Linked DNA regions of Oryctolagus cuniculus. The protein of the gene in region 6 binds, or shares a complex with, the protein of the main gene of each other region. Links are inferred from orthologs where the notes say so. Each region holds a gene or a part of one and is shown on either strand. Other genes may lie near its edges. The genes, in order: RASA1, SOS1, PLCE1, GRB14, RASGRP4, HRAS and MAPKAP1.

Region 1 (4,246 bases), on a different chromosome or scaffold from region 6:
GATTTCTATTACAGCTCCTTGCCTTCCCCAGTATGCTGCTTTGTCAGTTAGATCATCCTTAGCCGAGAAAATAGTGACCTGAAAGAACAATATCCAACGATATTCAGTGTTGAGATCCACCCCAACTCAGAACAATTTTTGAATCGAAAAAGGCAAGCTGCCAACCCATTGGTTTCAAACAATGGGAATAATTCCTGCGTGTCTGTGAATGCATCTAGTCGGCCCTTCACATCTGAGGAATTAACTAACTCTGGGAAACATTTTACAAGCATGCATCTGTACCAAAAATGTCATTTTGATTCTTGTTATTTCCAAAACAATACAGTATAACGGCTATTTACATGCATTTACACTGTGTTAGTTATTGCAAGGAATCCAGAGAGGAGTTGGTGTACATGGAGGGTGTGCTTATGTGCAAACGCTACACCACTTTATTAAAAAAAAAAAAAAAAAAAAAAAGGGATTCGAGCATCCTGAGAGCCTGGTATCCCGTGGTGGAGGCCCTGGGACCAGTTCCCCAGGGATACTTTTAAAGAGAACACAAAACCCCTCCTTGTGCGCTTTAAGGGTGAGGTCCAGGCTATTACTGTTGAACACCCTGGACAAGGGGCTTGTGCAGGCGCTCCGCCCCGGGCTCCGGCACTTCTCACACCTCCTCACCGTCCACCTGGACGGGCGCCGGCACGGGGCGGCGGACACCGCGCTCCACACCACGACCGCCTGCCCGCACGGCTCCCGGCACCCGCGGCGCTTTCCCGAGTTCCGGGACTGCCGCCTTGGAGCTGACCTGCCAGTGCGGCAGTCGCCGTGCGGTCACTGCGCCCCACACCCGCGCTGCGCTGACCTTCGCCGCGCGCCCGCCCGCCCCGTCGGGCCTCCGCGCCGCCGCTTTTCGTCACCGTCAGCGAGCGCGGCAGTGGCTCCGGTGGGCTCTTCCTTCCGCTCCATGCTCTTCCAGCTCCTCTCGCCTCCCGGGGTTTCATGTCAGCCTGCCACACACACACACAGACACACACACACGCACACACACGCGCGCGCGCGCGCGGCCGGGCCAGGCCGCCGCGCCGCCTCCGCCCCTCGCGGGCCGCTTCCCGCCCCGCCCGCCCCGCGCGGCCGCGCCTGCGCAGAAGCCGCCCTCCGCCTCCGCCGCCCTTCCTCTCCCCGCCGCTCCTCCCCGGCCCCGCCCTCCTTTCTCTCTCTCTCTCTCTCTCCCTCCCGGTCTGTCTCGGGTTTCACTACCCGAGCGCTGCAGGTAGCGAGCAGCGCCGCGGTTTCCTCGCCACCCCGCCCCTCCCGCCTCCCCTGCCCACCCCTCCCCGCGCCGGGCTGGTGGAGGATGCAGCGGCTGCCGGGGCTGCGTCCCAGGCAGCGGCCCCGGCGGCGGCGGCTGCGGTGGGGGTGGCCGGAACTCGGGTGGTGAGCGAGCGGCGGCGGCTGAGGGAGCGGCGGCCGCCTCGGCCGCTTCCCCCGGGCTTCCCTTCCTCCCGAGCGCAGGAAGTTTTCCGCGTCCGTGCATGTGTGTGCGCGTGAGTGTGGGTGTGCGAGGCGAGCCCGGGGCGGCGTTTGTGCCGGCGCTGGGCTTTTTTTGCCCACTTGGCGCTCCGTAACGCAGGCGGCTCCGCGAGTCTGGGCTGTGGCCCGGGGAGGGGGCGCGGCGGCGGCGGCGGCGGCGGCGGCGGCGGGCTCTCTCCTTTTGTTGTTGTTTCCTCCGCCTGGGGAGCTGAAGGGGGGACGCGCCTGGGTGGGGCGGCTCGGAGCCCGGGCCTGCTGGCCCCCGGGGCTCCCGGGCGGGCCGCGCAGGCTGAGCGCAGCGGGCTTCAACATGATGGCCGCCGAGGCCGGCAGTGAGGAGGGCGGCCCGGTGGCTGCCGGAGCCGGAGGCGGCGGCGGCGGCGGCGGCGCGGCCGCGGGCTCCGGTGCCGCCTACCCGGTGGTGTGTCGCGTGAAGCTCCCCGCGGCCGCCGCCCCCTGCCCCGGGCTGGTGGAGGCCGGGGCGCTGGGTGGCGGGGCCGCTGTGGGGTCGGGGTTCCTGGGGGCCGGGTCCGTGGCGGGGGCCCTGGGGGGCGCGGGACTGACAGGGGGAGGCGCTGCTGGACCTAGTGGGGACATGGCCCTCCCCAAGGGGACCCCCTTGCTGCCGGCCGAGACCCTCGGGCCGGGCGGCGGCTTCCCGCCTCTGCCGCCGCCGCCGCCGCCTCTGCTGCCCCCGCTGGGTGCGGGTCTGGGCACGGTGGACGAAGGGGACTCCCTGGATGGACCAGAGTACGAGGAGGAAGAGGTGGCCATCCCGCTGACGGCGCCGCCGACTAACCAGTAAGTGGGCTGTGCGGTTGCGGGCTTGGGGGAAGACGCACCTTGTTCTCTGGCGGCTGTGATTTGTTGTGCAGAGTTGGTGGAGCTGCGGGTGTCGCGCGTAGGGATTTAACTGGAGCGCTCCTCTTCCCGACAGGCGGGCTCCCGGGGCGTCTTTGTGTGTTCATGGCTCCTCTGGGAAGATGTAGTTTTTAAGATGGGACGCATGGGAAAAGTGTGTGTCCAGTGAGAACCGGATATGGTTGTGTGCCCTGCAAATGGGTGCCCCAGGATTCGCCAAGCCTGCCCGGAGCCAAGGCAGTCGCAGTGTACATGGACTTGTGTGTGTGTGCGCCCTGATGAGTTAGTGTGTAGGGATAGCGTGGAGAGAAAACAATCCATTGACCAGAATGCTTTGCTTTTGTGGCACCGACTTCTCCAACTTCTGTCTACGAAGGCAGAGTGATGCAGCGAAGTGTTGATCCCTTAGGCGAACGTGGGTCCGGGAGAAAGAAGAGTTGTGAGAGTTAGGCGTGTGATGAAGGACTCAGGTTCTGAGCTGGTAACGTGTTTCGTAGACTGACTTGGTTGATGGACCTGTAATGCTTTTGTAGTTCAGACGCTCGAAGTACAGTCTTCATGCGAAACAGATTTTAACGGCGCTTCGCTTCAGAATTTTTGTTGGTGGCCAATACGGTCTTCTATTTGAAATTAATTTTGACATTTAGAATATGCAGGGCATGACTTTTTAAATATAACTTAAATGTTGGAACAGGAAGGGACACTAGTAGGCAAAACGTGATCTGTCACATCAGTCTTAAATGATGTTTAGGATTTCAGCAGCCTTGGTGAGCATCAGGAAAAAAACATTTGGTTGGTATGTGGATGGATGGTCACTCTGGACAAGCCAAAGGTGTTTTTTGTTTTGTTTTGTTTTGTTTTTAATACTTTGGAGGATTTAGAAAGACTTTAAAAAGTGATGAGGAGGGCTTGCAGCTGTGGTGTAACAGGTAAAGCTGCCACCTGCAGCAACAGCATTTCACATGAGCCTGGTTGGAAACCCAGGTGCTTCACTTCCAATCCAGGTCCCTGCTAATAACCTGGGAAAGCAGTGGAGAATGGCCCAAGTCCTTGGGTCCCTGCACCTACATCGGAGACCTGGAGGAGGCTCTTGGCTCCTGGCTTCTGCCTGGCCCTTGTGGCCATATGGGATATGGGGAGTGAACCATTGGATGGAAGATTCTCTAGCTCTGTGTCCCCCCCCCCCCCGCAATTCTGATTTTCAAAATGAATCTTAAGAAAAAAGTAATTAGGAAAATTAGGAAAAGATGCTGTATTACTGACACATTAATTTTTTTGTTTGATTTTATTCCAAGTTATTTCATGTGTGTGTCTTGCAGATTTCTTGGGAATGTTAAAAATTGGTTTTTTAGTGCTACTTGCACACCTTCGAGTCTTTTTTGGAAAAAATGACAGGTAAATATTATGTGCACACTTAATATTAAGTACTTATTGCTAAGGTTTTAATAAACTGTAATTTTTCATATTAAAAGAATCTAGTCTTATACCAGTTCATAACTGAATTGATTTAGGCCTATTTAGGATATTGTAGTTCAAAAAATTTTTTAATAGATTGTTATCTAGAGCAATTTTAGCTTACAGCAGAATTGAGTGGAAAGCAGAGTGTTCTTGTTAAATTTTTAATAATAAAGATGAGTGTGTACTTAGGAAAATATGGATTTGTGAGAAGTCTGTTCAGTGAGATTTTCATCATTTTTTTGTATTTAGGAGTAAGAATAAAACTTGTACGTCTGTGTATATGACAGTTGTTGATGTTCTAAAAGTACCCTCCATGTCTAAGTATGCTTTTAAAATATACTACTTAGAAGTGCAAATTTCCTTTTTTTTTTTAATCTTAGATGTCAATCTAGAGTTACTGGAGGCAATATAGTAT
Region 2 (4,077 bases), on a different chromosome or scaffold from region 6:
CTGGCCTGAAATGTATTCTAAGAGCAACGAAGAGCCAAGGAATAGTTGGCAGCAGACCACCAGTGTAGGCTCACTCCTTTAGAACCACACAAAGCCTTTTCACCTATATCAGCCCTGTAGGTAGTGGAAGGGGTCTAACACGTTCTCCACTGAGACGCCCCCAACTCGACTCCAAACAATGTAGGTTCTCCTCTTCCAGAGGACTGACTGACGGGTTTCAAAATGTCACTGAACACTTCTGAAAGTGTAAATCAGGCATGCCCATTTTTAAAAGGAAAAAGCCCAAGACTTGATTCAGATTCTCAGAGAAGTTCTGTAAAGATTAAGATGCACCGCTTAAACATTTCTCAGCTTTGGGATCCTGGCTATTGTTCCATGGACCAGCAGGACACAAATGCCAGCTCAACCCAGGCTAGTCCTCTGCACTGTCTTCTCTGTGAAATGAAAACATGATTGCTGTGAGGGCTCAGGGAGCGATACTTTAGTGTTTAATGAAAACCACGAGGTGTCTACCCAACAGTGGTATTGGAAACCAACATCTGCAGCCCTGGAACCGAGGGACAAATTTATACACTGCACCTTTAGCATTCCACAAGCATTCCCTGGAGAAAAAGATCTGCCTTGCAGGCGTTCACGATCTAACCAAAATGCCGGGGAAGATAGAAAACGCAAAACAGACCAAGTGAGGTTCTCTGGAACCTGGGAACCGCGTATGATGTCCCACTTTCCAGGGCAGGGAAGCACTGACTGGAGTTGGTTGTCTGATGTGGGTTTGCGCAGGCTGAACCTGAACACCCATTCTACCCTTGCTGTGGAAAGGCCGGCTGGAAACATCGCAGTCGCTTCTGCCACCTGACAAATACTGAGCAGAGGGAAACCTATCTTTGTGCAGTCTGTTTACTATACGTTGCACGCTCCGAGCAGCCCTTATCCTCATGGTCGGGAACAAAGTACACACACAGACCCAGACACACACACACACCCCTTTCCGAAACCAAGGCCCGGGGACTCCAAGAGAGGGGTGGGATCCCTCGCGGCGCGGCCACACAATGGGGGCCGTCTCAGCACAGCTCGCCTCCCACCCCCACCCGCAGGCCCCATTCGGCCAGGGTTCGACTTCTCGGGCCCCACCGCCCCTCCCCTGCAGCCCCCGGGAGCGCAGCCACAGCCGGGCCCGGCGCCCTCCCTCGCCCTCCCTCCTTCACCGGGAGCCGGAAAACCCGGAGGGAACCGGCCCAGCCCGGCGGCGCATGCTCAGTAGCGCGCAGGTTCAGTTCGCTAGTAGGAAGCTCCAGCGCTGCACCGGCGGCGGCGGCGGCGGCGGCGGCCGCGGTGCAACCCGGCGGCCGGAACCCCAGCGGCGACTTCGGGCCCTTCCTCGCCCCCGAGCTCCCTCCCGCTCTAAGACTCTAGCGTGTCGAAGTCCTCGCTGGGCGAGCGGGCGCCGCGGCAGGAGCGCCCCTCCACACGCCCTCCCCCTGCCGCCAGCTCCTCGGCCGGGCAGGCCGGGCCCGGAGCGGAGCGTAGCCCCGGCAGCGGGCGGGCGGGCGGCGGCCGCGGCGGAGGGCAGCTCGGGGCGGCGCCGGCGGGCCGGGGAGGGGCGGGGGGCCTGGCCCCAGGGCGGTGGTGCGGCCGGGATGCCGCCGCCGCCGCCGCCACCTCCGGGCCGTGTTCGCTCTCCGCGGCTGGTGCCGGTGTCGGGCGGGTGGCCGCGCGCGGGCCTCGTCCCGCAGCCGCCTCTCCGGGGCTAGCCCGGCCGTGCGGCGCCCCGAGGGGGCCGGGCCGTCCGGAGGGGCCGCGGCCCTGTTCCGCGCTGCGAGCTCGCCCTCTCGCGGCTTCCCGGCCGGGCCGTCGCCGCCGCCCCTCTCCCCGCCCAGAGGCGCCCCGGGGGCACCATGCAGGCGCAGCAGCTGCCGTACGAGTTTTTCAGCGAGGAGAACGCGCCCAAGTGGCGGGGGCTGCTGGTGCCTGCGCTGAAGAAGGTGAGGAGCGCGGGGAACCCCGCTGCCCGGCCGCAGCCCCCGAGGCGGGCGCCGGGTCGGAGCCCGGCCGGGGAGGCGGGGCGCGCGCGGGCAGGGCCGCCTTTCTTCCCGGTCCCTCCGCAGCCGGCGGGCGCTCGGCGGGGACGTGCCCCGGTGTGTGGGAAGGCAGGCCGCGGGGAGAGGGTCGGAGACAGCAGTCGGGGGAGCCCCGGGGTTCAGCGGAGGTCAGCGCAGGCCACCCCTCCTCCTGGCCGGTCTCTTTGCCGAGCTGCTGTCAGCCTCCCGGTTGAAGTGTCCGGGACGCTCCTTTCACTGGCCCGATAACGCTCTGGCCATCATGTTTGCTGCGAGCTTGCCTGCCGGCGGCAGCATGGCCTGCTTTGCTCCCTCTGCGTTCTCCTGGGCACCCCCTCCGATTAACGAGGAGCTGCTACACATGCCAGTATTTTCAGACTTATTATTTTTTGACGGTTGAAAATCTTGGTGATGTCATTTGGGTTAGAATTTTTAACCTCTGTTTTGTATGTTTACGTTGGCCACATTGTTATCTAAAGTTATATAGGAAATGTTGCTACATTTTGTTTGTAAAGCAACGTTGTGACAAACACTGCACGTTAAAAACATCAGAAACTGGTGTGTGAGTTTAAAAACAACTGGACTGTTTTCGTTTCCTTTTCTTCATTTCTTCCTTTTCTGGTGGGGTGGCTTTATGCTTTCAACTGTGTGTCTAAATCCCAGTTTCTTGTTGCCCAAAGAATGTTTCATGAGATCTGGTTAAAATACAGCTTTGCTCCTCCTGAGGGCTGGGGTTATGGTTAGTCTTTCATGGTAAACATTTCCACTTGAACACAGTGTCTTAAAAGGTGTCTGAGTTTATCCAAGGCCAGAAGCTTTTACTTTCTTTTTTTGCCCTGGTCTCCCCCTCCCCCTTTTGCAGTCTTACAGTGGAACCTACTTAGTTAGCAAAATCTGCTCATATATTAAGGATTGAACTACCAACTTTTCCCCCTCAAATGTTTGGCTAGTCATTAACATCTCTTTGGTGTTTTCTAATAAAGTGTGTTTTGTGTGTGTGTGTGTGTGTGTGTTATCGGTATACTTCATTCATTAGAACTCCTACCAGGTTCTCCATCTGTTTAGTTGTGCTTTGCCTGCAAGTGTGTCTTCTTGTGATAGAAGGGGAGTAGGAGGTCACAGTGGTGCTAGAAGCTGGTGTTCCATCAGGGTAGAGGAAAATAAAACAGTTGTCTGAAAACATACCCAAAAAGCCTCATGAAGCATTACTCACTTGGGGTCATTTTGCTTAGAAGCTTACAGGTCCCATCCCAGGGGAACCACCGGTCTGTGGGTTGAGGATCCTTGGAAGTAGTGCAAAGAATGGCATTAGAATTGGCAGACTCACTGTCTGCCACGTGGGGGGCCCTGCTGGGATCTGTCCTCAGAAGAGTTTTGTTTGGCTGGCACAGTGTTGTTTATTGTTAAGTGTTTACACATGGGAGATATTACACAAAATCTGAATTCACAGCTTTTGTTGAAGAAAAATCTCTCCACTCAGGTCCCACGTGAAAAGCCAGCCAGTGACCTGCTGCGGGTGCATGGATAGCTGCCGTCTTTAGACAGGTGCACATTGGCGTTTACAAAGTCCTCAGCAGTCCCCTTTGCTTGTTTACATAAAACAATGCTTAGGTGTTTATTGACTTGAAAGTTTGGGCAGTGGAGAGAGAGGGAGAGTGAGAGAGAACACCTTGCTCTCCTCTGCTGGCTAACTTTCCCAGTGCTCATAATGGCGAGGACTGAAGCTGGGAGTTGGGAGCTCCAGGTTTCCCATGTGGGTGACAGGAACCCGATTACTTGAGCCGTCACAACTGCCTCTTGGAGTCCATATTAGCAAAAGCTGGAATCAGAAGCCAGGGCCTGATATTGAACCCAAACTCTGGCTTAGCAGCTAGGCCAAACGCCCACCTCTACACAAAGGGGCTTTTGACTCTAACAGAGTTGCCCTTGGAATAGAAATGATGGGAGGAGGTAGAAGTGTACAGTCTGACTGATAAATGTATCTTCCAATTCTTATCCAACTGTCTACCAGCAGGGAGTC
Region 3 (3,500 bases), on a different chromosome or scaffold from region 6:
CAGCTCCCTGCTCAGGCCTGGGAAACCAGAAGATGGCCCAAATCCTTAGGCCCCTGCACCCCACGGGAGACCTGGAAGAAGCTCCTGGCTCCTAGCTTCGGATCGGCTCAGCTCCAGCTGTTGCAGTCATTTGGGGAGTGAACCAGCAGATGGAAGACTTTTCTGTATCTCTGCCTCTGCCTCTCTGTAACTCTGCCTTTCAAATAAATAAATAAACAAGCCTTTTTTTTAAAAAATGTAAAATATATATTCCACGTAAAATAAGCTTTGGGACAAAAATTTGTCCCATGCTTTGAGGACTATCTGGACAAATTTGGAGAACAAAGAAATCTCATTGCTACTAGAGTTGTGTAAGCAACACAACCATAATTTTCAACCTTGGACCCATACGCACATAACGGCCCATTGATACACTCTGTGGACCTGGCCTAGCTCCTTCCTCATTAATCCTTCTTGTAGGAGTTCTGGAAACAGGCAGCATAGCTGAGGAAGCTGCAGACAACACAATAGAGCAGCAACAGACAGCAGACTGTTCAAAGTTGGCCGTTTAGGTCAAAAGGATGTGCTTTTCCCAGCCCAGAGAACCTGCTGACTTTCAAAGAACATTCCCATGGATCTGAGTGCCGAGGGACAGTGCCTACAGTCTGTGCAGACTTTTTTCTCAAGGTGGTTACCATAGAGATGGACTGATTGTCTAACAAATTGCAAAGCAAAACAAACTATATTTTGGTATTATCTTTGTAGAAAGTTTCATTTTCTACTATGCTTTCCCACTACAATGTATTGATTTATTTAGCATTTTGTGAAACGATTAGATAATTTTCCCATGAGAAAATCTAATTTTAGTAGAAGTAGGTCAGATTAACTAGGATCTAAAAGCTATGAGTCTCCAACAAATCCTTTTTTTTTTTTTTTTCGCCAGAATAAAGGTTAAGTATAGATGGGGGAGGAAACCAAACCAAACAAAAAGCAGAAAGAAAACAAGTGCTGGATGTATAGCTAGTTTTCCCACACATCATGGCTTCTCACATGTCACATATAAACCCTTCAAAGCAGTCTGGGGTCAGGTTTTGTGACTTTGCCAGCTATGTAAATAATGAAACTTAATGAAAACCATGTTCCAAGTGACATTCTTGGTACCTGGCTGTAGAGTTCTACTGAGGACTCCCCTTTCAGCTGATGGCCTGTGAGGTAGGTATTGTGTGAAGACTCAATGTAATAGTAGGACAGGGGTAGCTGCAATTCTTTAATGTTCTCCTGTGACTCATCATTTTTCGAGGCAAAATTCTCTTTATCCATCAGAAACCTAGATGAAACAAATGTTCTTAAGCTACGTGGGAAAAACACATGCTTTTAAATGATGATCAAGAGACATTTTCAAAATTACCTCGCAAATCCTTCAAATGACATTAGACCTTGGTGACACATACTGATGCTAGGCTCGAACTTCTGCAAGGGATAGAAAAAAAAAAGTATAATTTAGGTAAAGGAAACCATGAGGGGGGAAAAAAACCACATCATTTTTTAAAGCTGTTCTGTTTTCATCAGGAAACATCTAAACCAAATATTTGAACTAATTTAGTAATGTAATGGTAAGATGTAGTTTTTAGTCCAAAAGAAAACATTTATTATATGTGAGTTTATTATACTGAGCCTATTTATTTAAGAGGAAAAAAAAGGAGCAAGAGAAAAGAATAAGGCTGATTTATATGAAAACAAAGGGAATCAGTTTATCCAGGTGAAAATGGGGATAATAATAGCAGCTCCCAGAGACAGGGAGCACTTAGGACTGTGCCAGCACTCGGGGACGCTACAGGGAGCACCCAGCACTGTGCTGGTTCTCTCAATTGTTGCAAGGCTGGTGATCAAATCCAGTGTTGGAAAGCACGTCCACTGGTCCCCCATCAGGCCCAAGAGTACCTCTGCGGCAAGTGACCCAGCCACAGGGGACGCTCCCGCCGCCTCTCGTCCCCGCCCCTCTCTGGTCTAACCGCCACCACCACCACCTCCTAAATGATCTCTGACTCCCACTCCTTCCCCAGCACAGTTTATTCTCCAGTGGGGCCAGAGTGACCTCTTAGAAACATAAATCATGTGACTCTCCCGCTCGGAAAACCCCAACGGCTTCTCCTTTCTCATGGACTGAAGGCGACCTCTCCACCACAGGCTGGCTGGGTCCCGGCACACCTGTGTGGAACCAAGTCCACCTGGCTTCCTCAGACCCCAGGACATTAGCTCTGCCGTGGCTCCCCAGCCTGCGCCTGCCCAGCCTCGGAGCTGCTGCCCCCTGCCTGGGATGCGCTTTCCTCAGACCTTTCCATGACATTTGGACTAAACAGGGCCCAGCTCCGATGCCAGCTCCTCCGAGTGGCCTTTGCTTACTCCTCTCAGCCCTCCTCCACGACTCCAGCCTCTGCCTGGTTCTTTTCAGAACCCACTAGCACCTGCAATTATATCGTATCCTTGTTTCTTGTCAGTCTCAGCACTGGAATATAAGCTGCACTGAGGGACAGAGCTCTGATCTTTTCCCCAACTCTCTTCCCCGCTCCAGGAACTGAGACAGCATTATAGGGGCTAATAACCACTTGTTAAATAACAAAAGAGGTAGAAAATCCAGACTAATTATGTTGCCTGTGCAAGAATAAGAAGGAATTAGGTAATGATTCCTTAGTCACTGAGTCAGACATTGCCTGGGACACATGTTAATTATACAATAAGTAAGAATACATATATTTAGCATTTAAAAAGCCCCTTTTGGGGCCGGTGGTGTGGCACAGTAGGTTAAAGCCCTGGCCTGAGGTACCAGCATCCCATATGGGTGCCGATTTCTAGTCCCGGCTGCTCGTCTTCCAATCCAGCTCTCTGCTGTGGCCTGGGATAGCAGTAGAAGATGGCCCAAGTCCTTGGGCCCCTGTACCCAGGTGGGAGAACCGGAAGAAGCTCCTGGCTCCTGGCTTTGGATCGGCACAGCTCCGGCCATTGCAGCCATCTGGGGAGTGAACCAGTGGATGGAAGACTTCTCTATCTCTACCTCTCTCTGTAACTCTTTCAAATAAATAAAATAAATCTTAAAAAAAAAAAGCCCCTTTTATTTCTTATTTCTGTCACAGGTGAGAGTTTTGAAAAGAAGTATAGAGGCCGGCACCACAGCTCACTAGGCTAATCCTCCACCTTGCGGTGCCGGCACATCAGGTTCTAGTCCCGGTCGGGGCACCGGATTTTGTCCCGGTTGCCCCTCTTCCAGGCCAGCTCTCTGCTGTGGCCAGGGAGTGCAGTGGAGGATGGCCCAAGTGCTTGGGCCCTGCACCCCATGGGAGACCAGGAGAAGCACCTGGCTCCTGCCATCGGATCAGCGTGGTGCGCCGGCAGCGGCAGCCATTGGAGGGTGAACCAACAGCAAAAGGAAGACCTTTCTCTCTGTCTCTCTCACTGTCCACTCTGCCTGTCAAAAAAATTAAAAAAAAAAAAGAAGTATAGAAAAAAACAATAAATACGTCGCA
Region 4 (2,811 bases), on a different chromosome or scaffold from region 6:
TGAATACCCTCACCACAATACAATGGAAACAGTCATCACAACCTCAAAATTTCCCAGCTGATCTCACAGAAGTAAGAAGGAAATGACTGTTAAAGCTTTCAAAATGTGTGGCTTCCATATTGGAGCTGCCATAGTAAGAAACTGAAAAGCAGCTAGGCAATAAGAAAACAAGGAGTTATCTATGAGGATCTTTCTAGATTTTGAATATTTCATTTCACCTGTTTTGATTGGGTTAATGTTCTGTTACTGACTGTCTAAAGTGTTCTGAAAGTCAGAATATGGGGCAAATATGAGCTATCCAAGATGACAATGTTGTGCTGTCATAGATTACATGCTAAACCTATGTTCCAGTAGGCAGAATACCAGTATAGATTTCATAGTATAGTAATTCAATAATGTAATAAATTTATCCATAACAACTCTATATATCTCAAAATAATTTTAATACACTATGTAAAAATATGCTATTTGAAGATTATAATAAATCAGAAGATACATAATTTGAAGTAGTTTAGTTTTATTAACAAGTTGTGGATAGCTCCTTTTAATTGATAACTCAAGTTTTTCTCACTGTTCTTAATAATAAAAAACAGTATAATTAAAGCTCAGTCTGTAAATAATTCATTTTTAATCCCATTATTGTTTCCTAGTTTGTATTTTAAAGTTATAATATTATATAGTAGAGAAGGAAAGATTGATGTACATCTGTATGCATATTTGAAAAAAGTATAGTAATGTAAAATAACACAAGAACACATCAAGCCAATTTTTTCCTAAAGTTTAATTTTTAACTAATGAACTTTAAATGATGAATATAATGTCAATCCAAGTCTTTGCTTATTTGCAATGTATAACTCTTTCTTGTAACTTGAGATGAAATACATTCTTTTCCCCATGGTTAACATTTTCACCCTTATTTATGGTCTCTCTCTTAATTTTCTTCTTGAGTTCTTTTTCCTTCAATAGTTTCACAAGTCACTTCTGATTTGGTTAAAGAGCCATCCTAGCACAATAATGCTTCAACTTGCAAGGAAGAACACCCTTATTGAGTTGATAGAACTCCACCAGTTGAATTAGATCTGTAAATCTTGTGTGGCCATCATCCAGTGTATGGAACATTGCACCATCATCTTCAATCTGCAGGAGGAAAATCAACAAACTGGTCAAGATTTGGTCAAATTACCCAGAACAATCCTATGTCATTGCACAATTTTTCTCCATGCCCTACCATGCCAAAATTGATAAGTTCATATAACTGAATGATAGTGAAAAGAATACTGTGGCATGTCCAGTTCTTTTAGGTAACATCAATTGCATTTAAAAGAAATATAATCTGTTCCTCATTTAAAGCAGTGTGATTCCACTTTACTGACCTGTAATTATGCCAACATTCTGTGTAGTTTGGGTAGTATGACTATTTTGAGTCAATGAGCGTTGAGAAAGCCGTAGTACCCAGTGTAAAAGTAAACAGAAGATTTTAATGCTTCCACTTACAAAAATTAATTTCCATTTCTAAGTGTGGTCTACTTAACAGCCTCACTTAGTGTATTTAAAATGAATATTCACATAATTTCCATCAGCAAATTGATTCTGACACAATCAAATATTACATTAATGGAATGTCAATTGTCTTCTTTTTGGCAGTGAAGTCATCTGGCATTAAACAACTCACACTTGCTGGGGACATTGACCACATACTCAATGAAGTAAGGAGGATATTTTTACACCCTTTCGATAAGCACAAAAAAAAAAAAGCAATTCAAAAGGATGCATGAACAATTTAGTAATCTTAAGAAACCCTATCATGAAAGTAGACTGAATCTTCCATATTACCTGGTTCCAATATGCACTTCACATACATACACGCACACGCACACACACACACACACACACACAACAGTGGCAGCAGCAGCGGCAAAAGCAACAAAATCCCACAGCAAACTGTGGCACCAGAAGCAGAATTACAGAACATTTTAAAATGTGCTCAGAATAGTTTCAATGTTCACCAGTTTCATAGCACCTGTGTTTTTATCCATAATGATTAAAAACAAAACAATGAAAAATCAATTTTGAGAAAATGGAAGAGAAAGAGCTTTAAAATAATGTTTTCTAAAGAACCATTAGTAGAATTCAGGAGAACGTATCTTTAGTGGCCTTTTAACAATAGGTGGCATGGGGTCTATACAATATTGCTAAATCATATTTCATGGAAAAAAGAAAATTTAATTTTTACAATTCCTGTATTTCTTATATTAATTCAGGCTCATAAAACCATTTCTGCCAAACTTAACTTTAGTCAAAGCACAAGCTTCCAAATTATATTTAATAAAAAGGAACAAAAGAAAACTAAAGTTTCCAAAAGCTTATGCATTAAGATCATCTCTAATATACAAATGTGAAATCACAAATTACTTACTGGTATAATTTGAAAGTGCTTTATTTTTTGTCCATGACTCATTGATAGTACAAAAGTTTTGGGGTTACTCTGACTATCCCGTACCAAGAAAACTCTAAAAAGAGAGAAGGAATTTCAATATGTTTTTACATTTACTCATGGGTTTCACAGAATTATAGTGTATAACACATCCAGAAAGCATATTCATAAATTATAGTTGGGGATCCTTAATTGTGGGTGCAATGGGTAAGATTACCCAAGTTGGTAAATGATATGGTATAATGCATAATATAATCTTATACTTTAATACTGGCTTGGGTGCTGATACAGTTTCAATAGGACAAACATACAGCCCATTTGTCAGACTGTTTGCTCCCAAAAATCAATATAAAAATATGCTGGCATCAGTAATTAGT
Region 5 (4,103 bases), on a different chromosome or scaffold from region 6:
CCAAGTCCTTGGGCCCCTGCACCCACATGGGAGACCCGGAAGAAGCTCCTGGCTCCTGGCTTCGGATCGGTGCAGCTCTGCCATTGTGGCCAACTGGGGAGTGAACCATAGGATGGAAGACTTCTCTCTCTCTCTCTCTCTCTCTCTCTCTCTCTCCTCTCTGTGTGTAACTCTGTCAAATAAATAAATAAATCTTAAAAAAAAAAAAAGGGTTCACTCACTTGGTAACAACTGATCAACACAAATATTGAGTGATTTTTGCTCTTTTTTTTTGTCCTTCAGTTAAAAAATATGTCAAGTATGACACACTTAGGTAAAAAAAATGCATACTCAAAAGAACAGTCTGTTTCTATGAGCACACGTTTATGCACGTAAACACATTTCGGCAGTTTCGATGGCATCCAACAGCATTAACACTGGTCAGCCCTGCATGGGAGAGGGGGTGGCTGGGAGGGGCTCGAGAGTTTGCCTCCCCCTGTAATGTTTCTGTAATTAGATAACTGATCTGGGTGAGGATTAAATGAGTGAAAATGTTTTAAGCCCTCAGGGCAGGATATGGTACACAATAATTGCTAAATAAAAGTTTGTTGCAATAAAAGGAATGAAGTGGGAAAAAAAAGGGGCCAGCATTGTGGCACAGTGGGCTGGCTGCCACCTGCAGGGCTAGCATCCCACACGTTTCAATCCAGCTCCCTGCGGAGGCACCTGGGAGGCAGCAGATGATGGCCCAAATGCTAGAGCTCCTGCCACACCCAAAAGAGGCCTGGATGGAGCTCCTGGCTCCTGGCTTTGCCCTGGCTCAGCCCTGGCTGTTGCAGGTATTAAGGGAATAAACCAGCAAATGGAAGATCTCTCTATTTGTTGTTCTGCCTTTCAAATAAATAAAAATTCTAAAAAATTTAAGTGTAGTGTTTTCCAGGCTACAAATGGTGTCATTAAAAGTAACCCATCCATCAAAGAAGCACACAAAATAGCTTGATGAGTTTCCATTCCACCCTTTGGGTGTTATACACATGAATATGTTCTTATAGAAACAGAGACTTTTCTTTTGAGTGTGTTTTATATAAATATTAGTCACACTTTACCAAAAAAAAAAGGGGGGGGGGCCCTGCCACTATCAAAGCGTGACAGTGACGGGTCTCAAGTCAGAAAGATGGGGGAGATAGAGCCCGGGCTGGGTGGCTGGGGGTGGGGGGCCAGCAGCACCGGAAACCTCAGGCTGAAGGGATCCCCGGGGGGAGGGGATCCTCCCCTGGTCTCTCCCCAGCCTCTTCCTTCCCCCTGCCCAGGGTGGTGAGGAGGGGAAGTTCCTCTTTTCTTCCCGAGCACACAGGAGGCCTGCTCCCCTGGGACTGAGGAGCTGGCGCCAAGCTACCCTGGCAAGAGCGCCCCTCCAGGAAGCATGAACAGGAAAGACAGCAAGAGGTGAGAGGACCCTCCCCAGAGAGCCCCTAAGCCCTGCTGAGACACTGACCAGGAGGTAGGAAGGCTGCTGGGGCAAGATGATGGGAGCACCCCGAAGGCAGCCGGGGCCAGGGCGGCTTGCACCCAAGTGCTCTGTGCCCCGTCCTCACCCGCCCTGGAGCTGGAGCACCTGTGTGCCCTCCTCCCTCCTCGCTCTCCCCACCTGCACCCTATTCCCTCCACTGGGTGGCTCTGTCCTCCCTGGGGTCCTCCTGCTCCCCATCGCAGTTGCTGCCCCTTGGATGGGAAACTCCGGGCTCCTGCAGGACCCTGCCCCGAGGAGAGGGGCATGTGCGGCAGGGCGGGGCACTCGGCTGCTCCCGACACTGCAGAGGGCTGCCAGGCGTGGGTCAGGGCCCCACGGCTGGTTATGCTGGCAGGTTCTGGAATGGACTTCTATCTCCTAGGCTAGCTTGCCCTCCTGTCCCCACAGAGGCAGATGGTGACTGGGTCCCCCAGACAGAGTAGCTCCTCCAGTGTCCCCCAGCCTGATTCCGATGGGCAAAGGGGTTCCCTCCCCTCAGAACTCTGCAGGAATCCTGGCTGACTCATTTCCGGCTGTGTGACCTTAGGCAAGTCACTCAGCTTCCCTGTGCCTCTTTCATCATCTCTGTCAATGGAAGACTCAGAGACCATCAGCGAACCCGACAGGTTCTCAAACTTGACCATTCATCAGAGCCTCTTGGAGGGCTTGGGAAGTGCGGGCTGCCAGGCTCACCCCTAACGCTGTTGATTCTGTAGGTTGGAGTGGTGCCAGCAAATCTGTGTTTCTATCAAGTCCCTGGGAGATGCTGTTGGTACTTGTCGGGGACCCTGCTTGGAGACTCACTGATCTGGACGAGGGCTCAGCTGTGGGCCTGGTGCCTACTCAGGGATCATAAACGCCCACTATTGTTTCACTCTGATTTACTGCGTCTAGAACGTGCCAGGGACATGGCAGTGCCCTTGTCCATGGTCTCCCTGTTTCCAATTCCACCCACCGAGCCACAAGCCTGGCTTCTTCTCTGCCCCCGGCACTCTCTCTGTACCTCAAGTTCAAATTTCCCACCTCTGATCACTTAACAGCCTAGGCAGAATAAGTCTGCAGGGTCTTAGTCCACCCAAACGAGGATGGACTGGGTCCGAAGAAAGGTAAGTGCGCCGCTCGCCCGTTCCCCAGCCCGCCGATCCCGGGGACAGTCAGACGCAGTGGGGAGTCAAGCGCGTAGCAAAGCCTTTTATTTTATTTATTTATTTTTTAATTTTTTGACAGGCAGAGTGGACAGTGAGAGAGACAGAGAGAAAGGTCTTCCTTTGCCGTTGGTTCACCCTCCAATGGCCGCCGCGGCCGGCGCACTGTGGCCAGCGCACCGCGCTGAACCGATGGCAGGAACCAGGTACTTCTCCTGGTCTCCCATGGGGTGCAGGGCCCAAGGACTTGGGCCACCCTCCACTGCACTCCCTGGACACGGCAGAGAGCTGGCCTGGAAGAGGGGCAACCGGGACAGAATCCGGCGCCCCGACCAGGACTTGAACCCGGTATGCCGGCGCCACAAGGCGGAAGATTAGCCTAGTGAGCTGCGGCACTGGCGCAAAGCCTTTTAAAGCACAAGACCACAGGATTTCTGGGGCAGGGCATAAGGACCAACCAATTACTTAAAAGGTCATTTTATGGGGCGACTTTTTACAGGACCAGCCATATGTCTGTACACTCATCAGTTGTCATCACCTCCCCTGATGCTGGGCAGGCAATCAGCTTTGGTGGTCGACAACTTTGGATACTGCTCACCTTACTTCCCTTGGGCGCCATCTTTGAATTGCCTCCTGTGCCTAATTTCCCCACATAAGTCCATTACTGAGCCCTTTCGAGGAGCTAGGCATGGAATGCTTACAATAAATTCAGGGGCAGGGACAGTGTTCAGTGCAACAGTTAAGCTGCTGCATGGGATACCGACATCCTACAGAGGACGCCTGACTTTGAGTCCCGGCTCTGCTTCCGCTTCCAGCTTCCTGCTGATGTGCACTCTGGGAAGCTCCAATGATGGCCCAAGTGCTTGGGTTCCTGCCACCCACGTGGGAGGCCTGGATTGAGCTCTGGGCGCCTGGCTTTGGCCTGGCCCCAGATCCAGATGTTGCAAGCATTTGGGGAGTGAACCAGCAAATGGAAGATCTCTTTCTCTCGCTCTCTCTCTCGCTCAAATTAATTATATAATTTTTACAGATTTTGTTTTTTATTTATTTGAAAGGCAGAGTTGCAGAGAGAGGAAGAGGGGGAGAGAGAGACAGAGAAATCTTTCACCCACTGGTTCACTCCCCAAAGGGCCTAAAGAGTCAGGGCTGGACCAGGCCAGAGCCAAGAACCAGGAGCTTCTTTGAGGTCTCCCATGAGGATGCAGGGGCCCAAGCACTTGGATCATCTTTGGCTGCTTTCCCAGGTGCATTAGCAGGGAGCTGGCTCAGAAGTGGAGCAGCTGGGGCTCAAACCCACACCCATATAGGATGCTGGTGTCACAGGCAGAGGCTTAACCTGTCATACCACAATGTAATTTTTTAAATAATAGTTGTTGTTGTTTTTTTAATTCCTCGAGAAGGTCTAAAGATGGCTTTAGTTTTCATTTGAGGAAACAGACCAAGAGAAATGAAGTGACTAACAGCAAGTC
Region 6 (4,018 bases):
GGGAGAGAGCCTCAGGGGTCCGGTCTGGATAGTGACCCACATGCTGAGGACCCAGGAACGCGCAGGTCCCCTGGGGAGCCCCGTGGACTTTCCCTGCTGCCTGCCCTCCTGCAGCTGGTGCCCGGCCCTAGGCCTCCCAGCTAATCCCCACCATGCCCAACTGCCACCTCATCATGGCCAGGGAGACGGGCTGGCCCTGGACGCCCATGGGTGGCCGAGGGTCCTGCCTCAGCCAGGCCCCAAGGGGTTCAAAGTCCAGGGGTTGGAGGCAGCTAGGCCCAAGCCCCCACTCCTGGACACTGCTCCTCTGCCACGCCCCCAAGGCCCGAGGCTGGCGACGGCCCTGGCTCCTCCCTTCACGGCCCAGTACCCAGGGCACACCTGGCTCCCTTCCCATGACCCCACCCTGGAGTGACCCCACCCTGGAGCCAGCCCCAGCAAGTCCCGAGGCGCGGGCGTGGCCTCCGCGGGGACACCTTTTGACCTCTGAGGCTGTCGCTGGGCCCCAGAGGCTCTGCTGAGTCCACCTCGGCCCGGGCTTCCCCTCACCTGCGGGGCGCCGGGGTGCCCAGCCCGGGGCTCGGCCCTGGGTGCCCGCGGCCGCGGCGCTCTCCGACTCCGCCAGTTCTTCCGGCCGCGGGGCTGCGGCCCGGGAGCCATGGCAACCGGGCGGGGCCTCATCTGCATACCAGAATATTCATGAGGCGCGAGCCTCTCACGCGGCGCGCGGCCACGCCCCCTAGCGACGGCTGCAGGGCGGGGGTACCCGGGACCGTGCTGCACCTGCCGCGGCTCCCGCGCGGGAAGCCCGTCCTGAGACCCCCGCCACGGCCAGAGGGGACGCCCGGCGCAGAGCCGCACGCCCCGTTCCCCGCCTCCCGCTTCCTCCAGGGGAGTGCGGGTCTCTGCCCTTCGTGCGTGCAGCAACTTTTGGGCTCGGTCTGATGGGAACTTCGGGCCGGAAGGCGGACCTCTGGCCTTCCCCAGCGCCGGCCCCGCTGCCGTGCCCGCCCCTCCAGCCCGCCACGCGTTCCCTCGGCACCCGCAGAACTCGGTGCGGGGCCCCGGCTCGGCCGAGGCCTGCCGGGCACCGCCCTGCGAGCCACTCCCGGAAGCCCCGCCCGGTCGCGCTTCCTGACGGACGGGCCGCTCAGCCAACCGCGTGGGGTGTGGCTCGGCCGAGCGCGTCCAATGATAGGCTGCGCCGGGCTGACGGACGGGCGCGGGGGCGGGGCAGGCGCGGCCGCGGTCGAGTGTCCGTCGCCCGCTGCCGGCGCCCGCAGCCTGAGCCGCACCCGGCGCGGACGGAGCCCATGCGCGGGGCGAGCCGCGCGCTTGGACCCCGCGCCCGCCCCCGCCCCCGCCCCGGCCCCGGCCCCGGGGGCAGTCGCGCCCGTGAGCGGTGAGTGCGGGCGGGGCGGGGGCGGGGGCCCGGCGCCCCCTCCCGGCCCTGCTGGCGGCGGCGCGGGGCGGGCGCGCGTGCGGGCCGGGGGCGGCGGCGGGGCGGGGGGCGGCGTCCGCGGCCCCTTCCTGGCGTCCCTGTGGCTGCGGGCCCCCGGGACCAGGCCCCGCCTGCGCCATGGCGCCGGGCGCCGTCTCCTCCCCGCGCTGCCCAGGGCTCGGAGAGGCCCAGCGCCGCGGCCACCGTGGCCCTCAGGGCCGCCAGGGCGCCCCGCCCTGCACGCCGCGACCCGGGGCGCGCCGGCTCGGGGTCCGGGCCTCCCCTGCGCTGCCCCTGCGCTAGGGCTGAGCCCCTGTTTGCCGGAACCCCTGCGCGTTTCTCCGAGGACTTTGGGGCCGGTGGACACCCCGGGGAGCCGACATCCTGGGGACCCCAGAGGGCGGGGATTGCGCCCCAGGCCCCCTGTCCCTCGGGCCGCGGCGGCACCTGCATGCGGTGCGCGCTCGGTAATGCTGTTCGGACGCACCCCCGGGCCCGGCGGCTGGCTGACGCTGGCCTGCCTGGGCAGGCTGTGGCCCGGCCGGCCGCGGCAGGACCTGTTCTGGGAGGCTAACCTCAGCCCTCAGGCCCTGCGGGTTGTGCGTTCTGCCTACACAGCAGCTTCTAATTTGGGTGCGTGGTTGGGAGAAGCTCTCAGCTGTCAGCCCTGCCTTTGGGGGTAGGCGCCCTGCCTTGCTCACGCTGTCGCTGGTGCGGCGGGGTGGGGAGGCGGCACCCCTCCCGCCCCCTGGATGGCGGCTGGCCCAGGTGGGCAGCTGGGCCGCCGTCCTGGCCGTCGGAGCTGCGGGCCTGGCTGAGCGTGGCCCTCCTTGGCAGGCGGGGCAGGAGACCCCACAGCGCCGGGCAGCCCGCGAGCAGCGCGCGATGACGGAGTATAAGCTGGTGGTGGTGGGCGCCGGCGGTGTAGGCAAGAGCGCACTGACCATCCAGCTGATCCAGAACCACTTCGTGGACGAATATGACCCCACCATCGAGGTGAGCCCGGCGACCCCTCCCCTGGGCGGCCAGCGCCGGTAGCCTGCCGCCACGCGGTCCCTGAGACGCCGCCTCCCGCAGGACTCGTACCGGAAGCAGGTGGTCATCGACGGGGAGACGTGCCTGCTGGACATCCTGGACACGGCGGGCCAGGAGGAGTACAGCGCCATGCGGGACCAGTACATGCGCACGGGCGAGGGCTTCCTCTGCGTGTTCGCCATCAACAACACCAAGTCCTTCGAGGACATCCACCAGTACAGGTGAGCGCCGCGGGGCGCGCACGGGGGCGCTGGCCAGGCCGGCAGTGCGCGCCCCGGCTCACGCCTGCCGCTCCCAGGGAGCAGATCAAGCGGGTGAAAGACTCGGACGACGTGCCCATGGTGCTGGTGGGGAACAAGTGCGACCTGGCGGCGCGCACCGTGGAGTCCCGGCAGGCGCAGGACCTGGCCCGCAGCTACGGCGTCCCCTATATCGAGACCTCGGCCAAGACGCGGCAGGTGAGCCCGGCCCCGCCCCCAGCCGCCCAGGGACGCCCCGGCCCCACCCCGCCCCCGCCAGGGAGCAGTGCTCACAGCCCCTCTCCCTCGACGCAGGGCAGCCGCTCTGGCTCTGGCTCCAGCTCCGGGACCCTCTGGGACCCCCCGGGACCCATGTGACCCAGCGGCCCCTCGCGCTGTAAGTCTCCCCGGACGGCAGGGCAGTGAGGGAGGCGAGGGCCGGGGTCTGGGCTCACGCCCTGCAGTCCTGGGCTGACGCAGCCCCAGGGGAGGGGGGGTCCCTAGAGAGAGCTGCCCTGAGCCAGGCTGGAGCGGTGACCCTGGGCCCCTGCCCCTCTGTCCCCAGTGTCCCACGGGTTCCTGTGGGTTCTGAGCCCTGTAGCTCACCAGCCGGGCGCAGAGTTGGGGTGGGGAGGTGAGCCTGCCCACGGGGGCGGCCCGGGAAGCTGCCGACGAGCAGGGAGGGGCAAGGGTTCAGCCTGAGCCCTCGGCGGGAAACAGCGGGTCCCCCGGTGGCCGCGCCCTGAGCCCGCTCCTCCCTTCCAGGGCGTGGAGGACGCGTTCTACACGCTGGTGCGGGAGATCCGGCAGCATAAGCTGCGGAAGCTGAACCCGCCCGACGAGAGCGGCCGCGGCTGTCTGAGCTGCAAGTGTGTGCTGTCCTGAGCAGGTGAGCCGGGGCCGCCGGCCCGTGGGTTCCCGCCCGGCCCCACGCCCCCGCCCGGCCCCACGCCCTTGCCCGGCCCCACGCCCCCGCCCGGCCCCACGCCCCCGCCCGGCCCCACGCCCCTGCCCGGCCCCACGCCCCCGTGTGCCCCACGCCCCTGCCCGGCCCCACGCCCCCGCCCGGCCCCACGCCCCCGCCCGGCCCCACGCCCCTGCACGGCCCCACGCCCCCGCCCGGCCCCACGCCCCCGCCCGGCCCCATGCCCTTGCCCGGCCCCACACGTGCCCCACGCCCCCGCCCGGCCCCACGCCCTTGCCCGGCCCCACACGTGCCCCACGCCCCCGCCCGGCCCCACGCCCCCGCCCGGCCCCATGCCCTTGCCCGGCCCCACACGTGCCCCACGCCCCCGCCCGGCCC
Region 7 (4,190 bases), about 230 Mb from region 6:
TGGGGAGTGAACCAGTAGATAGAAGACTTCTCTATCTCTCTGCCTCTCCTCTCTGAGTAACTCTGACTTTCAAATAAATAAATAAATCTTAAAAAAGATATTTGAGACCAGAACTATATAGGATTTTAATTTTTTCAGGTTTTGAAGTATTTCCATAGGCTTAATCCAAAATTCCAAAATTCCAAATACTCCAAAAACTGAAGCTTTTTGATAGTCATGTAGTGCTCAAAGTTTCTGCTCTTGGGGGTGGGTGTTTGGCTCGGTGGCTGGGACCCACTTGAGAAGCCCACATGTCAAGGCGCCTGGGGTCCCTACCCATTTCCAGCTCCTGACTCCCAGCTTCCTGCTGATGCAATCAGGACACAAGGGACTGGGTTCCTGCCATCCATGTGGGAGACCTTCACTGAGCTCCTGGCTCCTGATTTTTGCCCTGGCCCAGCCCCAGCCATTGCAGAAATTCGGAGAGTGGACCAGTGATTGGGAACTGTGTGTCCTTTTGCCTCTCAAAAAAAAAGAAATTAAAAAAGAAAATTTCAGATTTTAGATTTTTGGATCAGGGATGCTCAACCTACACCAGGCCCTTTATCCACAGTAGCTCACTACATATTCCGAACACCTGTGAGGTCAGTAGCATCCCTCATCCCTACGCCTAGTTGAGGAAAATGATGCCTAGGGTTAAGAAACTTGCCAAAGGTCACTTATCTAGTCAGAAGAGAGACCAGGAACTGAACACAGAGCCCATGCTAATTCTCTAGACTATCTTCTTTGCCCATATTCAAAGTTGAGGTGATCAGCTACTACCAACTTGCCTTGGAAGGCTGTGATACATTCAAATGATTCTTAGTACCATGCACTTTAATATTCATATTTTTTCCTTTGTATAGTTTCAGGATGTTCTTGATTAGATAGCTATGGGATGAGAAAGACGGCAAGCCAAGTAATGGAAAAGTACAGATTTAAGCATCAGAGAGATCTGGGTTTGACCATGGCTGTCTTGTATCAGTTACATCATTTATCCTAAGTCTTCCTAATCTATAAATTGAGGTTAAAATGATAAAACAAGAAAAACTGATATATAACATGCAATACATAAATACTGAATAAAGTATGCATTACAAAGCATCCCCTGGCCATATCCCACCCCTCAAAAGTGAACGACCAGTCCCCCTTCTGTACAAATGTATCACAAAAAGAACTCTGTACTGATCACTGTGTTGGAATTATAATTTCCTTATCTGTCTCACTAAGCTGAGCTCCCTGCAGGCCAGAACCCAGTCTGATGTATCTGCACACTGCTTAACACTGCCCCTGGCACACACCCATACTCAGTAACTGTTTGCCAAATGAAATAACTGTAAATACAACAATGAGTGCTTACAGGAGTCTAGAGAAATCATTTCTAGTTGGGGTTGTCCCAAACTGGGTGAGGGAGGCCAACTTCAGCTAGGCCAAGGGGCGTTTCTCGAGAGGACCACAGAAAAGGGGAAACCTTCTCACGCCCTGCCAAAGACAAAGGGCGACGTGAGAGCCTAGAGCAACGGATCCGAGTGGGGGCCTCTGCCCCGAGCCAGGTCGGGGGGCGCACAGGCACGAGTGTGGTCTGGCCCACAGTGGGAGGGAGAGGGGCTACCAGCACACGCCACAGGCCCAGAGAGCTCGCACGTGGGTACGCTGGAGAGGATGAAAACCATTATCACTTCATCAAGGGCGCCCCCGGCACCACGGGAGCACCCGGCGTGGGCTCTCAGCACCCGAGACTACAGCAGGGTGCCTCGTTAGCTGTCCTGGTGGGTTTTAACGCTGAAGATCCACCCCCGCCTGCCTGTCCAAACAGCACGAGAAGTCCGGCTTTTTCTAGCGGTGTACCGCCACTGGGTCACACCCGAGAAGTTTTCAACTTTGCTGACTTGGGTTTACAACAACATGATGCTTTCCACGGTGCCACTTCGGTGGGCTTCAAACAGCACTTGCGTTCATTCAGAATGCAGTTTTATCCGATTTCTGAGTCAATTTGGGGAAGGGGTGTCTCTGGTTAAAATACTACCCTTGTGTACACAATTTTTTTCTCCAACCTTAAACAGATCCAGAAGACTCCCACAAATAAAAAAAAAAAAAAAAAAAAAAAACCTGACCCAAAGTTGCAGCAGCACTCCAGCTAACAAAAACTCAGCGGGGCTGTTCATCCGTGCAGGGGGACGAGACAGGACCACGCACGCAACACCTGAAGAACTCGATGTTCACACTGTGAAGAGCGGGGCACCTACAGAAACCGCAGGAGCCACCTGCGCCCGCGCCCCCACCCCACACGACGGGGTCCACACCCGGACGTCAGGCTCACGGCAGCCTCCGCTCCTGGAAGGGGCCAGGGAACGGCTGCCGCTGACCACCGGAGCAGGGGCCTGACGGGCGGCCCGCTGGGCAGGCAGCGCCGGGGATCCGAGCCGCCAGGCCCCGTGAGAGGCCGAGCGGGCCGGCCGGCGGGCAGGCGGGCGGGCAAGGGAGCTAGCGGCTGGGGCAACCTTTACCTGAAGCTGCTTCCACACTACGGGCCGGGCTGGCCTTGGGAAACGTTCCTGAGAGGAGGGCCCGGCTCCCCCACGCCTCCCGGCCCCTGCCCCGACTCTGCACTCTCGGGATCCTCGGGGACCGGTGCTCCTCCCGGCCCTCTCAGCTGCCGTCGCCCGGACTAGCCCTCATGTCCCGGCTGCTCGCCGCCGCCGACCGGCCGAGCAGCAGCCCTGTTACCCCGAGCCGCGCCACGACCCGGAACCGCACCCCCGCGCACCGGAAGTCCCCGACCAGGAAGGCGCCTCTGGCTGGGGAACGCAGTGCGCAAGCTCGAGAGTCGAGAGCCACTTCCCGGGGGGCGGGGGGCCGTGCGCATGCGCGTTCTTCTCCGGGGTCGGTAGAGGCCTGGGTCCGAGCCTGGGAATCCCGGCGAGGTTCGCTCGCGCCCGGCTTTCCTGGGACGGAAATCGACGTCAGCGATCCCCGTGGAGCCCTCGTTCTTGCCACTTGCAAAGAGAAGAGCCCCCAGTTCATCCAGAAATGAGGAACGAGGCAGCCTAGCGCGTGTATCCGAAAGCCCTGGGTTCGAATGCCGCTGCTGACTTGCAGTGTACCCCTGGACACTGCAGCTGCCCCCTCGGAGCCTCGGCTTTCCCGTCCGTAGCAGCAGTTCCGGGATGACGGGATGGCTGTGAGAATCAAACGGGGTGAGGGGTGAGGGGCCGCACAGTGGCTGACGGCACGCACCCGCAGGAGGTGCCGCGACCTCCCTCATTGTGTGTAGTGCCCAGACGCGGGTCCGCGGCGAGGACGGCAGGGAGGCGCACGGGGTGCTGGGTGCTGGCACCGCACGGTCGGTGCGGGCGCGCCCTGCACCTGCCCTCCGTGGTTCCGGCGGGGACCTGTCGGGGGCGCTCTGGCCGGGTGGACAGAAAGGTTGGGTAGGTTCCCCCACTTCCCCCCAAACCTTTCTCTCGTTTTCTCTGCTTTCCTGGGCTCCAGTCTGAAACCCAGCTGCCTGAGCGTCCCTCCCACGGCCAAGACCTGTGTGAAATCGAAATCGACTGGACCTGCGGGTCGCTCATGGAGTCTAAAGACTGAACACTCTCTCCACTTAGGAGTTTTGTAGCTTCGTCTCTCCAAGCTACCTCTTTAAATTTCCTTATCTGTAGAATGGAAATCAAAAGTAACAGAGCCAGACCTTGTGCAACAGTAGGTTAAGCTGCAGCCTGCAATGCCAGTTCTCATATCAGGGTACTGGTTCATGTCCCGGCTGGTCCACTTCCCATCCAGCTTCCTGTTAATGCTCCTGGGAAAGCAGCACAGGATGGGCCAAGTACATGGACCCCTGCACCCACTTGGGATCCTGATGGAGTACCTGGCTCCTGGCTTTGGCCTGGCCCAGCCCCAACCATCATGGTCATTTGGAGAATGAACCAACGGATGGAAGATCTCTTTCTGTACTACCTATCTCTGTCACTCTAACTTTCAAATAAATACAATAGATCTTTTAAAAAAAAGACTGAAACAAAAAAGTCATAACCGTTGTGAGGACTGAATGAGCTAATACGTAGAACTCCATAGAATGCAGCCAAGCAGGTGGCTAATACTGAGTACTTACCACTGTTACTACACCTGTCAATAAGCAGGTACTTATGGGTGCCCAGCCTAGGCACTGGAGA

The links.
Region 1: the proteins of HRAS (region 6) and RASA1 are in contact, whole or in part, in a crystal structure (PDB 8BOS), measured with the Homo sapiens proteins. The link is inferred for Oryctolagus cuniculus from reciprocal best matches to the Homo sapiens genes HRAS and RASA1. Residues at the interface, in NP_001123914.1 of Homo sapiens: Gly12, Gly13, Ser17, Ile21, Gln25, Asp30, Glu31, Tyr32, Asp33, Pro34, Thr35, Ile36, Glu37, Asp38, Ser39, Tyr40, Arg41, Gln61, Glu62, Glu63, Tyr64, Ala66, Met67, Lys88, Lys117; in NP_002881.1 of Homo sapiens: Gly746, Arg749, Glu783, Thr785, Thr786, Arg789, Ala790, Thr791, Glu799, Lys803, Ser833, Arg894, Gly898, Phe901, Leu902, Arg903, Cys906, Pro907, Leu910, Asn911, Met914, Arg928, Ile931, Ala934, Lys935, Gln938, Asn939, Asn942, Val944, Ala948.
Region 2: the proteins of HRAS (region 6) and SOS1 are in contact, whole or in part, in a crystal structure (PDB 4NYM), measured with the Homo sapiens proteins. The link is inferred for Oryctolagus cuniculus from reciprocal best matches to the Homo sapiens genes HRAS and SOS1. Residues at the interface, in NP_001123914.1 of Homo sapiens: Gly13, Gly15, Ser17, Ala18, Thr20, Ile21, Gln25, Asp30, Glu31, Tyr32, Asp33, Pro34, Thr35, Glu37, Tyr40, Arg41, Asp54, Ile55, Leu56, Asp57, Thr58, Ala59, Gly60, Gln61, Glu63, Tyr64, Ser65, Ala66, Met67, Arg68; in NP_005624.2 of Homo sapiens: Glu589, Lys602, Trp809, Thr810, Lys814, Leu822, Met824, Ile825, Arg826, Thr828, Thr829, Thr832, Glu836, Asn869, Leu872, Val875, Ser876, Asn879, Ser880, Ser881, Tyr884, Ser908, Asp910, His911, Tyr912, Lys913, Leu916, Phe929, Phe930, Gly931.
Region 3: the proteins of HRAS (region 6) and PLCE1 are in contact, whole or in part, in a crystal structure (PDB 2C5L), measured with the Homo sapiens proteins. The link is inferred for Oryctolagus cuniculus from reciprocal best matches to the Homo sapiens genes HRAS and PLCE1. Residues at the interface, in NP_001123914.1 of Homo sapiens: Ile24, Gln25, His27, Val29, Glu31, Asp33, Ile36, Glu37, Asp38, Ser39, Tyr40, Arg41, Glu63, Tyr64; in NP_057425.3 of Homo sapiens: Phe2138, Pro2146, Glu2147, Gln2148, Pro2149, Arg2150, Thr2151, Val2152, Ile2153, Lys2154, Lys2171, Tyr2174, Ser2175.
Region 4: the proteins of HRAS (region 6) and GRB14 are in contact, whole or in part, in a crystal structure (PDB 4K81), measured with the Homo sapiens proteins. The link is inferred for Oryctolagus cuniculus from reciprocal best matches to the Homo sapiens genes HRAS and GRB14. Residues at the interface, in NP_001123914.1 of Homo sapiens: Glu31, Asp33, Pro34, Ile36, Glu37, Asp38, Ser39, Tyr40, Arg41, Tyr64, Met67; in NP_004481.2 of Homo sapiens: Val109, Lys111, Asp116, Glu117, Thr118, Ser119, Arg120, Ala121, Leu122, Asp123, Lys140, His142.
Region 5: the proteins of HRAS (region 6) and RASGRP4 are in contact, whole or in part, in a crystal structure (PDB 6AXG), measured with the Homo sapiens proteins. The link is inferred for Oryctolagus cuniculus from reciprocal best matches to the Homo sapiens genes HRAS and RASGRP4. Residues at the interface, in NP_001123914.1 of Homo sapiens: Glu3, Gly12, Gly13, Gly15, Ser17, Ala18, Ile21, Asp33, Pro34, Thr35, Ile36, Glu37, Tyr40, Arg41, Asp54, Leu56, Asp57, Ala59, Gly60, Gln61, Glu63, Tyr64, Ser65, Ala66, Met67, Arg68, Asp69, Gln70, Arg73, Thr74; in NP_733749.1 of Homo sapiens: Tyr228, Gly232, Val234, Val244, Asn248, Ser251, Asn288, Met291, Ala292, Gly295, Gly296, Cys298, His299, Ser300, Leu327, Ala328, Ser329, His330, Asn331, Asn332, Tyr333, Ala334, Arg337, Leu351, Gly352, Val353, Leu355, Lys356, Val359, Ser360.
Region 7: the proteins of HRAS (region 6) and MAPKAP1 are in contact, whole or in part, in a crystal structure (PDB 7VV8), measured with the Homo sapiens proteins. The link is inferred for Oryctolagus cuniculus from reciprocal best matches to the Homo sapiens genes HRAS and MAPKAP1. Residues at the interface, in NP_001123914.1 of Homo sapiens: Gln25, Asp33, Ile36, Glu37, Asp38, Ser39, Tyr40, Arg41, Leu56, Glu63, Tyr64, Met67; in NP_001006618.1 of Homo sapiens: Glu277, Ser278, Phe280, Ala286, His287, Gly288, Phe289, Ser290, Leu291, Ile292, Gln293, Arg311, Arg312, Lys313.

What each region holds. Positions count from the first base shown.
Region 1 is NC_091445.1:10,198,604-10,202,849, forward strand, and holds the start of RASA1 (ras GTPase-activating protein 1), read left to right. Parts: upstream 1-1,446; 5' UTR 1,447-1,822; coding exon 1,823-2,313; intron 2,314-4,246. UniProt on the Homo sapiens protein: Inhibitory regulator of the Ras-cyclic AMP pathway. Stimulates the GTPase of normal but not oncogenic Ras p21; this stimulation may be further increased in the presence of NCK1.
Region 2 is NC_091433.1:163,753,292-163,757,368, forward strand, and holds the start of SOS1 (son of sevenless homolog 1), read left to right. Parts: upstream 1-1,277; 5' UTR 1,278-1,895; coding exon 1,896-1,982; intron 1,983-4,077.
Region 3 is NC_091446.1:36,441,033-36,444,532, forward strand, and holds part of PLCE1 (1-phosphatidylinositol 4,5-bisphosphate phosphodiesterase epsilon-1), read right to left. Parts: intron 1,450-3,500; coding exon 1,388-1,449; intron 1,307-1,387; coding exon 1,141-1,306; intron 1-1,140. UniProt on the Homo sapiens protein: The production of the second messenger molecules diacylglycerol (DAG) and inositol 1,4,5-trisphosphate (IP3) is mediated by activated phosphatidylinositol-specific phospholipase C enzymes.
Region 4 is NC_091434.1:77,009,177-77,011,987, reverse strand, and holds the end of GRB14 (growth factor receptor-bound protein 14), read right to left. Parts: intron 2,511-2,811; coding exon 2,417-2,510; intron 1,138-2,416; coding exon 991-1,137; 3' UTR 501-990; downstream 1-500. UniProt on the Homo sapiens protein: Adapter protein which modulates coupling of cell surface receptor kinases with specific signaling pathways. Binds to, and suppresses signals from, the activated insulin receptor (INSR). Potent inhibitor of insulin-stimulated MAPK3 phosphorylation.
Region 5 is NC_091449.1:16,194,609-16,198,711, forward strand, and holds the start of RASGRP4 (RAS guanyl-releasing protein 4), read left to right. Parts: upstream 1-1,303; 5' UTR 1,304-1,402; coding exon 1,403-1,425; intron 1,426-4,103.
Region 6 is NC_091432.1:197,007-201,024, reverse strand, and holds the start of HRAS (GTPase HRas), read left to right. Parts: upstream 1-1,218; 5' UTR 1,219-1,402; intron 1,403-2,278; 5' UTR 2,279-2,326; coding exon 2,327-2,437; intron 2,438-2,518; coding exon 2,519-2,697; intron 2,698-2,774; coding exon 2,775-2,934; intron 2,935-3,030; exon of another isoform or gene 3,031-3,112; intron 3,113-3,480; coding exon 3,481-3,600; 3' UTR 3,601-3,604; intron 3,605-4,018. UniProt on the Homo sapiens protein: Involved in the activation of Ras protein signal transduction. Ras proteins bind GDP/GTP and possess intrinsic GTPase activity.
Region 7 is NC_091432.1:229,457,203-229,461,392, forward strand, and holds the start of MAPKAP1 (target of rapamycin complex 2 subunit MAPKAP1), read right to left. Parts: upstream 2,801-4,190; 5' UTR 2,526-2,800; intron 1-2,525. UniProt on the Homo sapiens protein: Component of the mechanistic target of rapamycin complex 2 (mTORC2), which transduces signals from growth factors to pathways involved in proliferation, cytoskeletal organization, lipogenesis and anabolic output.